Linked DNA regions of Oryctolagus cuniculus. The protein of the gene in region 2 interacts with the protein of the main gene of each other region in a pairwise test. Links are inferred from orthologs where the notes say so. Each region holds a gene or a part of one and is shown on either strand. Other genes may lie near its edges.

The links. The genes of interacting proteins can lie anywhere in the genome.
Region 1: the proteins of ZMYM2 (region 2) and FOXP1 come close enough for resonance energy transfer, tested with the Homo sapiens proteins (2 studies listed by BioGRID). The link is inferred for Oryctolagus cuniculus from reciprocal best matches to the Homo sapiens genes ZMYM2 and FOXP1.

Annotation. Positions count from the first base shown.
Region 1 is NC_091441.1:78,256,898-78,263,091, reverse strand, and holds part of FOXP1 (forkhead box protein P1), read right to left. Parts: intron 2,754-6,194; coding exon 2,552-2,753; intron 2,448-2,551; coding exon 2,368-2,447; intron 1,767-2,367; coding exon 1,665-1,766; intron 1-1,664. UniProt on the Homo sapiens protein: Transcriptional repressor. Can act with CTBP1 to synergistically repress transcription but CTPBP1 is not essential. Plays an important role in the specification and differentiation of lung epithelium.
Region 2 is NC_091440.1:90,902,855-90,909,751, reverse strand, and holds the start of ZMYM2 (zinc finger MYM-type protein 2), read right to left. Parts: upstream 4,159-6,897; 5' UTR 3,962-4,158; exon of another isoform or gene 3,844-3,961; intron 3,814-3,843; exon of another isoform or gene 3,675-3,813; intron 2,867-3,674; 5' UTR 2,798-2,866; intron 1-2,797. UniProt on the Homo sapiens protein: Involved in the negative regulation of transcription.

The sequences.
Region 1 (6,194 bases), on a different chromosome or scaffold from region 2:
AAGGACGGCTGCAGACCTGGCTGAATAAGACAGCCGTGCCAGTAAAGACGCAAAGTCAAAACTTAAGTTTTGTTTTCCACAACTGCACATCGAAGCAGAAGGCAACGAAAAAATCAACAGTTTTCAAGAAAGATGAGTAAGCTCTTTTCAGTCATGACTTTAGCTGGGCATTTCATCTTTTGTCTAAGAGCACAGTACAAATAAGGACACGTAGAGAAAATTACACGTATTTATGAGTCATTAAGTACTTCATCTAGGGTTGTTTATATTAATGACACTTTTCCTGCAGTTTGCAAAAATGGAGAAGTTAAATCTGAAGATCTGAGCTTAAGTATTATATTTGCAACTGGTAATTATTTTTAAATTTGATCATTTGCTATTTATAAAAGGCAATTTGAAGAAAATGTCTGCTTCATGCGTCTACTACCTGAATTTTTTTAAGCATTCTAAAGATTCTTTCTTTGTATTTTATCTCCCAAGGCAGGCTAAGGGGAAAGAGGGAAGATTTTGAACACAGGCATCCTTCAGCGCCCATGTGTCTTAATGGAAGCAGGAGGATAATTTGGGCCATAAACTGATAAATTAATTCTATGGTTATGTGCATTTTTCTTTTAAAATGCTAATTTGTCAAGGATTTAACAAAAGAATTGTGTGCTCTGGTTTTGCTTTTGTTTCTCTACCATATAAAATAAAAGGCATTTATTTCAAGCAAATCAAGTGTTCTTGGCATCCTGTAGTAAATACCTATCCTGTTTACACTAATTACATGTAAAAATATCTTAAGATCTTTGCATTCAATGTGTCTAAATGTTTTGGAGTTTAGGGATTACAAAAATTTCAGGTAAAAAAAAATACAAGTGTCAGCATGTACTTGCCCTCTTTTATATGCAAAAATAAGACACCAAGGTATTCAAAGTGGGAAATTTCAAACACTATTGCTTATCCTAATCCAACAGGATACATACTAATGGAATCTATGAATCAACTACTGAACTGGGAATGAGGTGTGCCATGTGATCCCAATTATTGTGGGCACCCAACAGATAACGATGGATGTGAGAATCAGGTTTCATAACTTAGAAGCATGCATGGACCTCTGAGGGGCAGTCTCATGATTTAATCCAATGAAAGCTGGGTCAGGTTTGTGGGTTCATTTCTCCAGGTTCCTAATGGTGAGAAAGTGATCTCTGTATACATGCAAGTACCAGCTGTGGTTAAAGACCTAACAGTATGAAGTTGGTGGGCAACAGTATCATCTCCCTTTCCTAAATACTGCAACCAGAAAGAGGTAATTTTACTGGTTGTTCCATCCACACATCTGATGCCAGTGTAACGAGAGTCTTCCATCCAAGCATTTTAACCACAGTCAGACTATTTTCCCAAAAAAATAGGGGATACTTCGAAAAGTTTTGGAAAATGGAATTAAGACAGTTCATTTGGGTGCAAAAAACTTTTGAAATTCATGAATAGTTTTTTGTCATAATACACATTTTCCAGTAACTTTTTGAAATCTCACATATTCCTATAGATTGACCACTTTGTGTGTATCCAAACCATATAAATGTAACTTCCTAGTAGACCAAAAACCGCATCTTATTAAAAGCAGACTCTGCTATAAAAGTCAAGACCCAGGATGGACCAGGCCTGACAGAAGGCTTGCTTACCTTCCACGTGGCTGCGTTGCGCCGGAAGTAAGCAAACATGCGTGTGAACCAGTTATAAATTTCATTTAGTGTTAGCTGCTTTTCTGGAGATTCGAGAATGGCCTGTAAAGCACAAAGCAACAGCAGAAGATAATTTATGACCAAATCAGCAAAATTGTTATTATACAGTTTTTTGAAAATATAAACTGTGACTCAGAGCTAAACCTTAAGAAAGGTTTCACAAAATGATCTAAGATTAATGGTTGTATTTAACAGTTCAATAGCAAAATTCAAAATGGAATTATCTAATTGTTTTGAGTTTTTATTTCTGTTTCCATACAGAAATATTAATTTATTAGTCATTCATAAAGCAGAATCAAAGAGAAATGCAAAACATTTCACTAGCTGATTAAAGCTCAGTAATTATTTAGAGCTCAGATTAATTCTAGGGATCAGAGATTACTGTAGCTTGTGATAATTGACTTGCCATCTTTAAACAGGCTCATTTTCACTGTTGTGTGAAATGAATTTCCTAATAATCACATCGTATTGTAATACTTAATCAAAAGCAATTATGTTATATATTGCAGTTTTAAAAAACCTTATAGAAAAGGTTTTAGCATGCTTGCATACTAAACGGTTTTAAATCTACTTCATCAATATAATATATCCACGTACACGTACACCTTTTGATATAGTTTCACAAACCGCATTATTTACTTACCTGCCTAATTAAAGATGCATATGTAAATGGTGGTCTAACTTCTGCGTTCTTATAAAATTCTTGGTTCTGCGCAATATCTGCTAAATAAGAATCATTGTCCTATTAATTATCACTTTTTAAAAAGAGGCTGATCAACAAGAATTGCAGATTATACTTTGACACGAGGCAAACATGGAGTAGCTACCTGAAGAAATGGGCACGTTGTATTTGTCTGAGTACCGCCTGCGGATGGGCCCCACCGTGTGCATGCTGGTGGTGGTGATGACAGAGGGGCCTTGGGTGACGGGAGTGAGGGGGGCGGTGGGGGTCGTTGGAGTATGAGGTAAGCTCTGTGGAGAAGCCTCTGATGCGGACTTGGAGAGCGTGACGCTTGACACCAGATTCAGCTGCGAGGGAAAGAACACTGATTAGGAAGACCTTGAGGAAAACACAGTAACCAAGAAAGCAAGAGTAAGACAGTGGACGCCTGGCAGTGTTGTTTTTCTAAGTAGCTATGTCTACAATCAACCGAAAAGCAAGGCGAGTGTGGAAACAATTCATTTCAGTATTTACTCTGAGAGGCTTCTTGCATTGTTCTCCCCTCTTTGCAGTGAGACAGGTGTTTTCCGAAAGCTGCTAAACGGGTGTTGACAGACACAGAGGGGTTACCCAGCCTAGTGAAATTATGAAGCTTTGCAGCACCGACGGGTCTGTAATCGTGACATCTCACCTTCTTTAATAGCCTACTAAGCATGCTAAGCCTCCGAGAGGGAGATGGAGTTCTCAGAGCCACCAGCAAAGACAAGTATTTGAGGGAACACCACTTGGAATGCATTTCTGTTGGACCTCGGCAGTCCAACAGAAAATAACTTTCTGTTCTGGGCTGGCACATCTGAAAAACCATTTTTACTTAATTGTAATTAAAATTAAACCCTGATGAATCAAAACAATGTCACGTGACCTTGTAGCTACCACACTGGACAGCACAAGGATAAACTACTCAATTCCAGCATAGAGATTTCACTGATGATGGGAATGGCCTATATCTCATATTAAATAGATTGGCACAGACCTGATAAGCCATCATTTCAATCAGCTGGCAGACATTGGTATTTTAAAGCTTTTTGTGTAATCTTCATTAGCCTCTATCAATATAGGATCAGAATCTATTCATTTTAAAAGGTGGCAAAAAAAAAAAATTTCCCTTTAAATTGTGAACAGGCTGTAAAATGAAACAGTCTACATTAAGTAAGGAAATGAGTATTATTTACTAGGAATAGTATTGAAGAAAATGAATGCTATTTTGATTTATCTATTTTACCTTTGCCTCCAAGTGCTATTTCTATGAATACTAGAAGGAATAGCCCTTTTTCAAATTTTGTTGCAACAGAAATATTATGTTAAGCCTGGAAATGCTGAAGAACCGTTTTTAGCGTATTTGTTACCATTTGCACAGAATTGTTATCTTAGATACATAGAACCTCCCCTAAATCCACGAATCTTCAGCCCTTCGTAACCTTGTCTCACTGAGGATTTTGCATTCCCGTAAGCAGTCGGGATTTCACCACCGCTACATTCAGTTTGAAGTACAGGCACTGTTTGTGTAAGGTACTCCAAATGAGATTCCTCTGAGACCACAACCAATGAAGAGCTTCAAAGGGTTCCACTGGTGGAGACGATTCTTACTCCATACTCTAATAGTGAAAAGGCCAGCAGAATCCTCAATGAGGGGAGTTCCAAGGGAAGAAAATGACAATCAAATATAGCTGAGGAAATATTAATGGGAAGTGTAAACATGATGCTGGCAGTCGAGAACCTTGAGTTGTGCTTTCCTTCTTATCTTCAGCCTGGATTGTTCCCTGAGCAGAAACCGCAGACCTCAGTGCGGAGGACAGCAGGCTACGGAGATGGCACTACCTTCACAGATCCCCCAGCAGGCTGGGCATATGCTCGGAGTTGCTCTTTTCAATCGAGCTGGCAACCTGACTTCATGGCACACATTCGCAAACTAAGTGCTAACAACAGTGTAGCGGGGCGGTGCTGGGGAGCCCACCGACAGGAGTTGGGGCTGACCCGGTCTTGGACACGGGCCTTCTTCACTGACCAGGCCCGAGAAAAGTACGAGAACACATCAGCACGAGCAATGGGTGGACAAGACTCATGCAGAAAGGTCCTAAGCACATAACCTTTATCATTCAGACGCTGCTGTGGAGTCACGGAGATCAGTTCCAGAGTCCTGGTTTAGAACACCTGCCACTTGGTGGTTTCTTTCCTTTCTCATACCATCGCTGATTTGAGGTGTTCTTCCCCACATTTTAGAGATAAGCAAACTGAGGCTTGGAGAGATTAAAAAGCTTTCTCATGTTCCCAACTCAAACCCACAGTCAAACCGCAACTTGTGTGGTTCTTGTCCAGATTGATCATCTTATACTTGGTTAATGGGAAAAACAAACACTAACTGGTTTGACTTCTCTGTGTGCTCATTTGTGAAAAGGATTCAATGACTAGCTATTATCTCTGTTACAAATAACATTCAAAAAGTATTACTGAGCAAATATAAGTCAGAAGGTCCTGTAATAATGGAAACAGGAATAAAACACATGATTGATATCCTTGAAGAGCTCACCATTAAAAGCAGAGATTGGTCAAAGACAAATGTACACGATAACCACAAAAATATTCCCAGGACTGATTCCACTTCTTGGCTTCTCTTTTCAGCTTAAGAACAGGATCCTAAACATTGTGGCCACCTTAAAAATGTAGTGAAAATTAGCTATAAATGTCCTTAACAAATATGGAGGTGGGCATAGTGAGTATGCCACAGCTTGGGATGCCCACCCCTATCAGCGTGCCTGGGCTCAAGTCCTGTCTCTGCTTCCGATCCTGCTTCCTGCCGTGTGCGCACTCTGGGAGGCAGTAAGTGATGGCTCAAGTACTTTTGTGCCTGCCACCCACATGGGAGACCTGGATGGAGTTCCCGGCTGAAGCCTGGCCTGCCTCCCCTCACCTCCCCCCATCTCCCTCCCCACCCCCAGCTACTGCCAGCATGTGGGGAGTAAGCCAGCAGATCTCTCTCTCTGCCTTTAAAGAACATGCACGTCTGTTCCAGTTTTGTGAGGAAGATCACCGCATCTAGTGTGTCAGAAATAAAGTCATGGCAACATGAGGCTGGGGCAGACTCATTTTGGGGGGTACTGATATCTAAGACCAACAGACAAATCCCCAGTATCAATCAAATGCAAAAAGAATTTGAGTCTTGTACGTTTTTACAAAGGTCTCAGCACTAGGACTATTGCTACCAACAAAAGTAGCAGAAAAAAAAAATCCCTCCAGGTTAGCAGTCGACAAGGAGAAAGATGAGGAAGAATCTTCTGGGTGCTTTGGCACCTAGGTAGTGGAAATAAACACTGAGCCAGAAGAGAGCAGAGAGGGGGTTTACCAGGCTTGACAAATGACACCATGATTCACACCCACTGCTGGGCTGTCTCTAATAAGCCACAGAGGAAGCAGCCAATCTCAGCTAATTACCAGATAAAAATGTATTGTAAGGACTCTAATTAGGAGACGCGGATGGAGGTGATCTAATGATTAAATGCTGCATTCGGGTGACCCCACCATCCATGTGCAGTGGTGCAAGATGTCACTGGAATATTTTGTAGAAACAGTAATTTTATTTCGAGGAGGGGAGGCAGTAATATTTGTAATGATGGCTATGAGGTAAACTAATTAAAAGACAGTTCCTGGAGGAAGAGGGTGGCTGAGAGCAGCTGTGGCCATTCCAAAATCAAGTGCCAAGTCTCAATAGAGGAGCTGCAGTCAAGTGGAAAATTTCTGCCTGACCTCTGCCC
Region 2 (6,897 bases):
TGTATGCAGCACTGGCATCCTATATGGATGCCAAATCATGTCCCAGCTGCTCCACTTCCAATCCAGCTCCCTGCTAATGGCCTCAGAAAGCAGCAGAAGATGGCCCAAATGTTTAAGTCCCTACCATCCACATGGGAGACCCATACAAAGTTTCTGGCTCCTGGCTTCACCATGGCCTGGCACTGGCCACTGAGACCATCTGGGGAATGAATCAATAGATGTAAAGTCTCTTTCTCTCTGTTTCTCCCTCTCTCTCTGTAACTCTTTCAAAAGAAATAGATGTTTTTTAAAAAATCATTGTATTCCATTAATATATATGCTGATATTTCAGAAAAATCCTAACTATACATTTTCTAAGTCCCTCATCTCCAAATCTCTTACCAAACTTAACCAATCATCAACAATTCAACCAAGAACAAAAGAAATAATCCTGGAAAGATAAATCATTTGTTAAAATATGTGGTAATAAGTACTGTCCATCCATTTGAAAAGATGTGATCCTTGATCTATCATATTTGGATGATCTAATGCCTAAAGAGTTTAAACTCATTAGAGAAATAATGAACATATATTCATTCAAGTTATATTATTTAGGAAACTACAGACTAAATCATACAGACACAGTAAAATTGGCCTATCAGTTGAGACACCACTAGGGATGCACCCATCACCTATTAGAGTGGCTGGGTTCAAGTTATCAGACCTACCCTCTATTCTAGCTTCCTGTTAATACACACCCTTGGAGGAAGGAAGTGATGACTCAAGTAGGTGGGCCCTTGTTACCCATATGGAAGACCAGGAATGAGTTCCCAGCTCCTGGCTTCCAGCTGTGCCAGCCTTGGCTGCTGCAGGCATTTGGTGAGTTAGCATGAAAAAGTAACTGCTATGAGGCCAGCACTGTGGTGTAGTGGGTTGAGTCGCTGCCTGCATCACTGGCATCCCATATGGGTACTGCTTCATGTGCCAGCTACTACACTACCAGTTCAGCTCCCTGCTAATGCACCTGGGAAAAGCAGTGGAAAATGACCCAAGTACTTGGGCCCGTGTCACCCACACAGGAGGCCCATATGAAATGCCTGGCTCCAGGCTTTGGCCTGGCCCAGGCTCAGCCATTGCGGCCATTTGGGGAATGAACCAACAGATGAAGGTCTGTGTTTCTCTCTCTCACCCCCTCTAACTCTGCCTTTCAAGTAAGTAAAATCTTTTTTTAAAAAGTAACTGATAACTATAGCTTTCTTATTTAAAAAAAAAAAGGTACTCAATGAGGCACAGTACTTTCTATTTGTTTATACACCATTTGCTAAGTAGAAAGACAATAAACTGAGAAGACTAACCTTGGATTTTTTTTCACTGTCTAAATTTCTAATTTGTAAAACAAGCATTTAATGTACTTTAAAACAGTAGAGTGTAGCTGCTGAACTTAGCCTCTGTAAAGAAACTGCTTAAATTCAGATCCTCGCTCTACTGAATACTCTTGTTGGGTATCTCCCTATGTCTGTTTACTCTTCTACAAATTAGCAATAAAAACAGTCTCTCCATCATTGGGTTATGATTAAATTACTTAATACATGTCAAGATTGGTTTGGACATGTGTTAATTTTAGAATATGAAGTATGGACATCCAGTATACTATTCTCACTTAGGAATTGTAATGCTTCCACAATAAAGTTTTTTTAAAAGCTTACAATTGGGCTGGTATATACAGCTCAATAAATGCTTTTATTACTCTGCACAATACTTGCTAAGATTAAAGGAAATTAACACATAAATGTGTCCCACTGTACCTAAAATAGTGTGTATTCAATTTAAGTTGCCAACATCATATCAGCTTTCACAATCTGTATTAGACAATTCCTTATCTTGAATTCAGTATCTTTTGACCCACTTGGACAAAACATTTAGTCATAAGCTACTACACTTATGTCCCACCATTGCCAGAGCCCTGAAAGTCACAGTATCAACTGTAAACAGGTTCAAGAGATATAATGTATCCAGAGTGCTGACTTCACTGACACTCTGTAACTAGTTTCAAGGAACTGAAGTACAATTTAACCAGTAACCTTTATCTCACTGTCTAACACACTCCAAGATTGCACAGCAAATTACAAGCATCAAATCAAGAATGCGTCTTAAGAATGACCAACACGTTAGATGGGAGAAAAGGTAACTAGATCGGTATACTGGTCGAACCAGCATACAAGCTGGTGATCTAAGACACTACAGATCAGAGGCCAGCCCTCCATGCCCGTTCCCAAGCAAAAATATGAAAAAGATCTAGTAACTCATGAACCATAAGAGACAAAATTTGTGTTTTAGATCAGGACATAACATTTCTATTTTAGATCAGGATATAACCAAAAAGTTAAAAGACTGCTCCCAATCCTTTAAATCAGTGATCCATTGGGGGGGGGGGGATGTCAAAAATGGATACATACATAGCATTTAAAATGAAGTAACTTGAATTCCCACTTTGGAACTCTAGAGGGCACCAGAAATATGCCCTCCTTCGCACCACCCCTCCTCTCCAGTAACGTGAGCAGCTGCAGAAGCCCGTCGTCTGGTTGCTGAGGTTGGTATTGCAGCAGCAGGAGCGATGTCTGCAGCGGTGCAAACAGCAGCGCCCACTCCCAGCTGCCTCAACAGCCATTACCCGGGCTTCGCCCCGGGGGCAGCTGCCACCCAAGGGGAAAGCTCCTCCCCCTCAAAACAACGGGAAGGGCCAAGTCCCAAGGCTGAACCTCTACAACCTGACAACATCCTCTTTACAGAGCAGCAAAATCAGGAGCAAAGGACTCACAATGGGGGTGTTTTCCTCCTCACTTTCTGCCAAAGATGCACCAGACAGGGCTGTAGGTGATTCCTGGTCCTGGGATGAAAAGAAAAAATGGAAAATGGAGCAAGAATACCCAACCTGGTGGGAACACCGAGCCTTTTTCGCCAGAAGGAGGCAGAAAAGGCAATAAGAGGTCAAGGAAGTACGGCCCTTCTATTATTACCCCCACCCTGCAAACAGCCCCTTCCAACGTAAGTGGGGCGCAACAGCAGCAAAAATATGTATTGGGGGCCAATAATCCACGTGAAAGCCAAGATCTGGGGGAGAGAGTGGCCCGAGGGCACCAAGCCCGCTCCTGGAAAGGGAGGGGGAAGGGCAAACGTTGCCTCGATGCCAGCCAGGGATGTGCATTCCCTCCTAAATTCGCCCACCCAGCGTCATTCCCATCACTCTCAGCACCAATTTGGAAGTAGGGACGGCTCACGTCACTGCTGGGCAGATATCGCCCATATTTGCCCCAAGCTGTTGCCCTGGGCCCGAGGTTTGCCCCCCCCTGCAGTCGGCGACCGGCAGCGCTGCCTCCCCGTCCGCCATTAGAGACCCAGCCAAACAATACGTGAGGAGCAAGAGCCGCGCAGCGCAGCGCCGGGGAAGAGCAGAGCGAAGGAGGGGACCCGGCGGGGCCACAGGCAGCAGCCCTCGCCCCGAAAAAACTTGAAGACCTCAGCTCGGGCCGACAGGGTGGGCGCGCAGCCCCGAGAGCGCGATCGCCGACCGGCGCCCCTCCCCCCCACCCCCGCAGGAGAGAAAGGAAAATACCCCGCGACCGCCCCGCCGGCCCGCACCCCCCGCCCCGCGGCCCCGCCGGCCCGGCGACCCCCGCCGCCGGCGTCCGCCTCACCCAGCCCGCCCGGCCGCGCCCGCGCAGCCTTCGGGCCGCACGCGAAGGCGCCCGTGACATGAGCGCAGCCCCGAGCAGCCCCCGAGGCCCCGACGCGGCAGCGGCGACGGCGGCCGCGCCGCGGGGTATTAAGCCCGGGTCGGTGGGAGGCTCCGGAGGCTGCCCTCACCCATCTCCGCCTCCCCAGTCGCCTCCGCCTCCGCCTCCTCCTCCGGAGGCTGCGCTGCTCCCAGCCACCCCCACTCTCGGCGGCCCTGGACTGGAAAGACAGCGGGGAGAAGCCTCACCCGGTTCTGGCTGCGGCTCCGCGGAACGAACCTCCCCTCCCCCGGCCCACCCCCCTTCGGCGACACGCACAACTCCGCTCGGTCCAGTCCCGGCTTTAGCGCTGGTGAGGAGGAGGAGGCGGAGGCGGCGGCAGCGCGGCCGAGCCCGGGGAGGCCCCGCCCTCCACGCGCTCATTGGCAGGCGACGGAGGTGGGCCAAGGAGCTTGAGAGATTGCCATTGGATATGTCCGCCTTCCTTCAAGACCCCCCTCGGTGGGGTGGTCCGAAAGCCTGTCTGTCTGGCGAGAGCCACACCCCCGGCCCTGCCGTTCCACTCCCCCCTCCGCCGGCCCTCGGCTGGCGGCCGCGTCCCCTCCCCTCGGAGCCCCCGCCCCCACCCCCGGGGCCGCCAGGGTCAGGAGCCCGACTTTCGTGGCCAGCCGCACGGGCCGCGGCTCGACCCCTGGGACCCGAGGGTTCTCCGGGGCTGGGACGGCCCGAGGGCTGACGCGGCGACGCCTGCCCTAGCCTGGACCGGGACGCGCAGGCCGCCGCGGCTCCTAACGACTCTGCCCGAGGACGTACGCGGCCTCGATGCCCCAACGCCCTCCCTGTCCAGTCCCTTGAATCCCCCTCGCGAGGGGCGAGCCCAGGAAGGAATCAGAGCGAGGCCGAGGGCGCGGTCCGGGCCACGGAATAAGGGGACTCCAGAGGCTCTGAGGGCTAGGGGGACACTTCCACCCTCGCCTCGCCCCCGTGGGGAAGAGTCCCCCCACCTCCCGTCATGGCTGCAGCAGGAGGAGACGACGTCCTCCATTTTGTCGGAACTGCTCTGGGAACTTGGGACCCTTTCAAATCCTAACCCCGTGGGGCCCAGAAACTTGGCCCTGAGCGGCCCGCACTGGGTTCTGCCATTCGGCCGAGGGAACGGCCCCCGCTTCCGGCGGCCGCGGCCCCGTGGCCGTGGCGGGGGGTGGGCGCGGGCGCGACGGTGGGGAGACCCAGACGCCGCTCCCCGCCTCCATCAACCAAGATGGAGGGAGTTGCGGGCTCCCCTGGAGCTGGGCTCCCGCCCGCTCATGGGACCCAGGCCTGCCCTGGGGACGCCCCCAGCGCTGCCGTCTTCTTTGCACACCCGTGCGCTGGCCCTCCCCGGCCTCCCTCGGCCTCTCCACCATCTCCTTGTCCTCAACGGTTGATGGAGGCTCCATCGCTTCGCCCACCCAGTGCGGCCCCCGCGCTCCCCCGGGAGCCGGGCCAGGGACAGACGGCGCCCGAGGGAGGCGGACCTAGGGCCGCGTCCACGAGGGTCTTTTGTTCCTCGTCTACACCTACGTCTTCGGGGGACGTCATGGTGCTGGAGATTTCCAAGACTCCACGTAAAGATGAAAGTGATGCCTCTTTGGTCTCTCCCTGGCGGTTGTTAGTGGGATTACAAGTGGTGGCGTTGGTTACTTTTCCACCAAGTGGAAGCAGGAATTGGACCTCAATTTCACGATTGTCTGACACCGCTGGCTGCTAATAGACATGTGATGTTACAACTTAGAAGTTTCACACAATATTGATGAACATCAAGTTTTTAATGAAGCTAACCATCCATAAAGGACTCTGTGAAGACTGAAGTGTAAATTTAATAAATGCAACGTAATCTAGTGCAATTTGAGATTCATTCGTTATCAATAAAAGTTGAATCAAGGAGCAAGTGTTTGGGGCAGCGGTTAGGATGCCTCTTGAGAAACAGGCATCCGATGCCTGAGTGCAGGGGTTGGAGTCTCAGCAAGGCTCCTGATCCAGCTTCCTCTTAATGTCCACCCTGGGATACAGACATGATGGCTCAAGAGAGTCCTTGCCACCCTTGGTTCCAGGGTCGTGGTTTCTGCCCCGTCCTAGCTGTTGCTGCCTTTGAGAAGTGAACTCAAGGATGGAAGATATCTCTGTCTCTCCTCCTTTCAAATAAGTAAAAAAAAAAAAAAAAAAAAATCCTCCCACCTGGGACTAAATACCACAAATATGCTGCTTTTATTAACGGGACAATAGCCCCCATATGTATTTTCAAATTTAAAAACCACTTTTGTCTTTCGAGAAATTTTTTTATTTCATAATTGCAAGATTTTTCCGCTTTCAGGACACTAAACTATCCCAAGATTTTATGGTACATATTTTGTTTTACATGAACATACTTGATGTGTATCTGTCATCACAACAGAACGTTGCCATGAGCTAACATTGTAATAATAAACTTACACCATCCCTTTTTTTGCCACCCTGAACTATTGCAATAGCTTCTATTCATTATGTTTATAATTAAATAAATTGGAGATACACAATCTGTTTAAAATTGTATCTATGAATTACATGAACTCATCTTTATATTAATAGAATTTTTAAAATAATGTCACATGTAAGTGATAAGTTTCAACATGCTATTCAATTGCAGGACACTATATTGCTATCTCAGCATGATTTGTAATTGATTAGCAACAATAACACTAACTATCGAAGTATTTATTATTCACATTATTTCTTCATTCAAGTCCATTTGTCCATGAAACTTAACCAGTATGTTGACATAAGAGAAATTTTTAGTTGAGAGTTTAAAAAGGAAAAAATGCTTCTGTGATATAATTTAAATACAAATTAGACTTAATCTTATATAAAAGTATTTTTAAATAAACATTTCCATGTTCATAACAGCATTATTCATGATTTCCAACAGGTAGAAACAACCCAAATGTCCATCAGCTAATAAGTGGATCAACAAAATGGGATATTAGCCATACAGTAGAATAGCATTCAGCCATAAAAAGGAATGAAGTTCTAACATATGCCTACTGCATAGACAAACTTTGGAGACATCAATCCTAAGTGAAAGGAACCACACACAAAAGATGATATTTAGCATGATTCCGCTCATGTGAAATACCCAAAGTTGGCAAGTATGAGATGACATCAGATT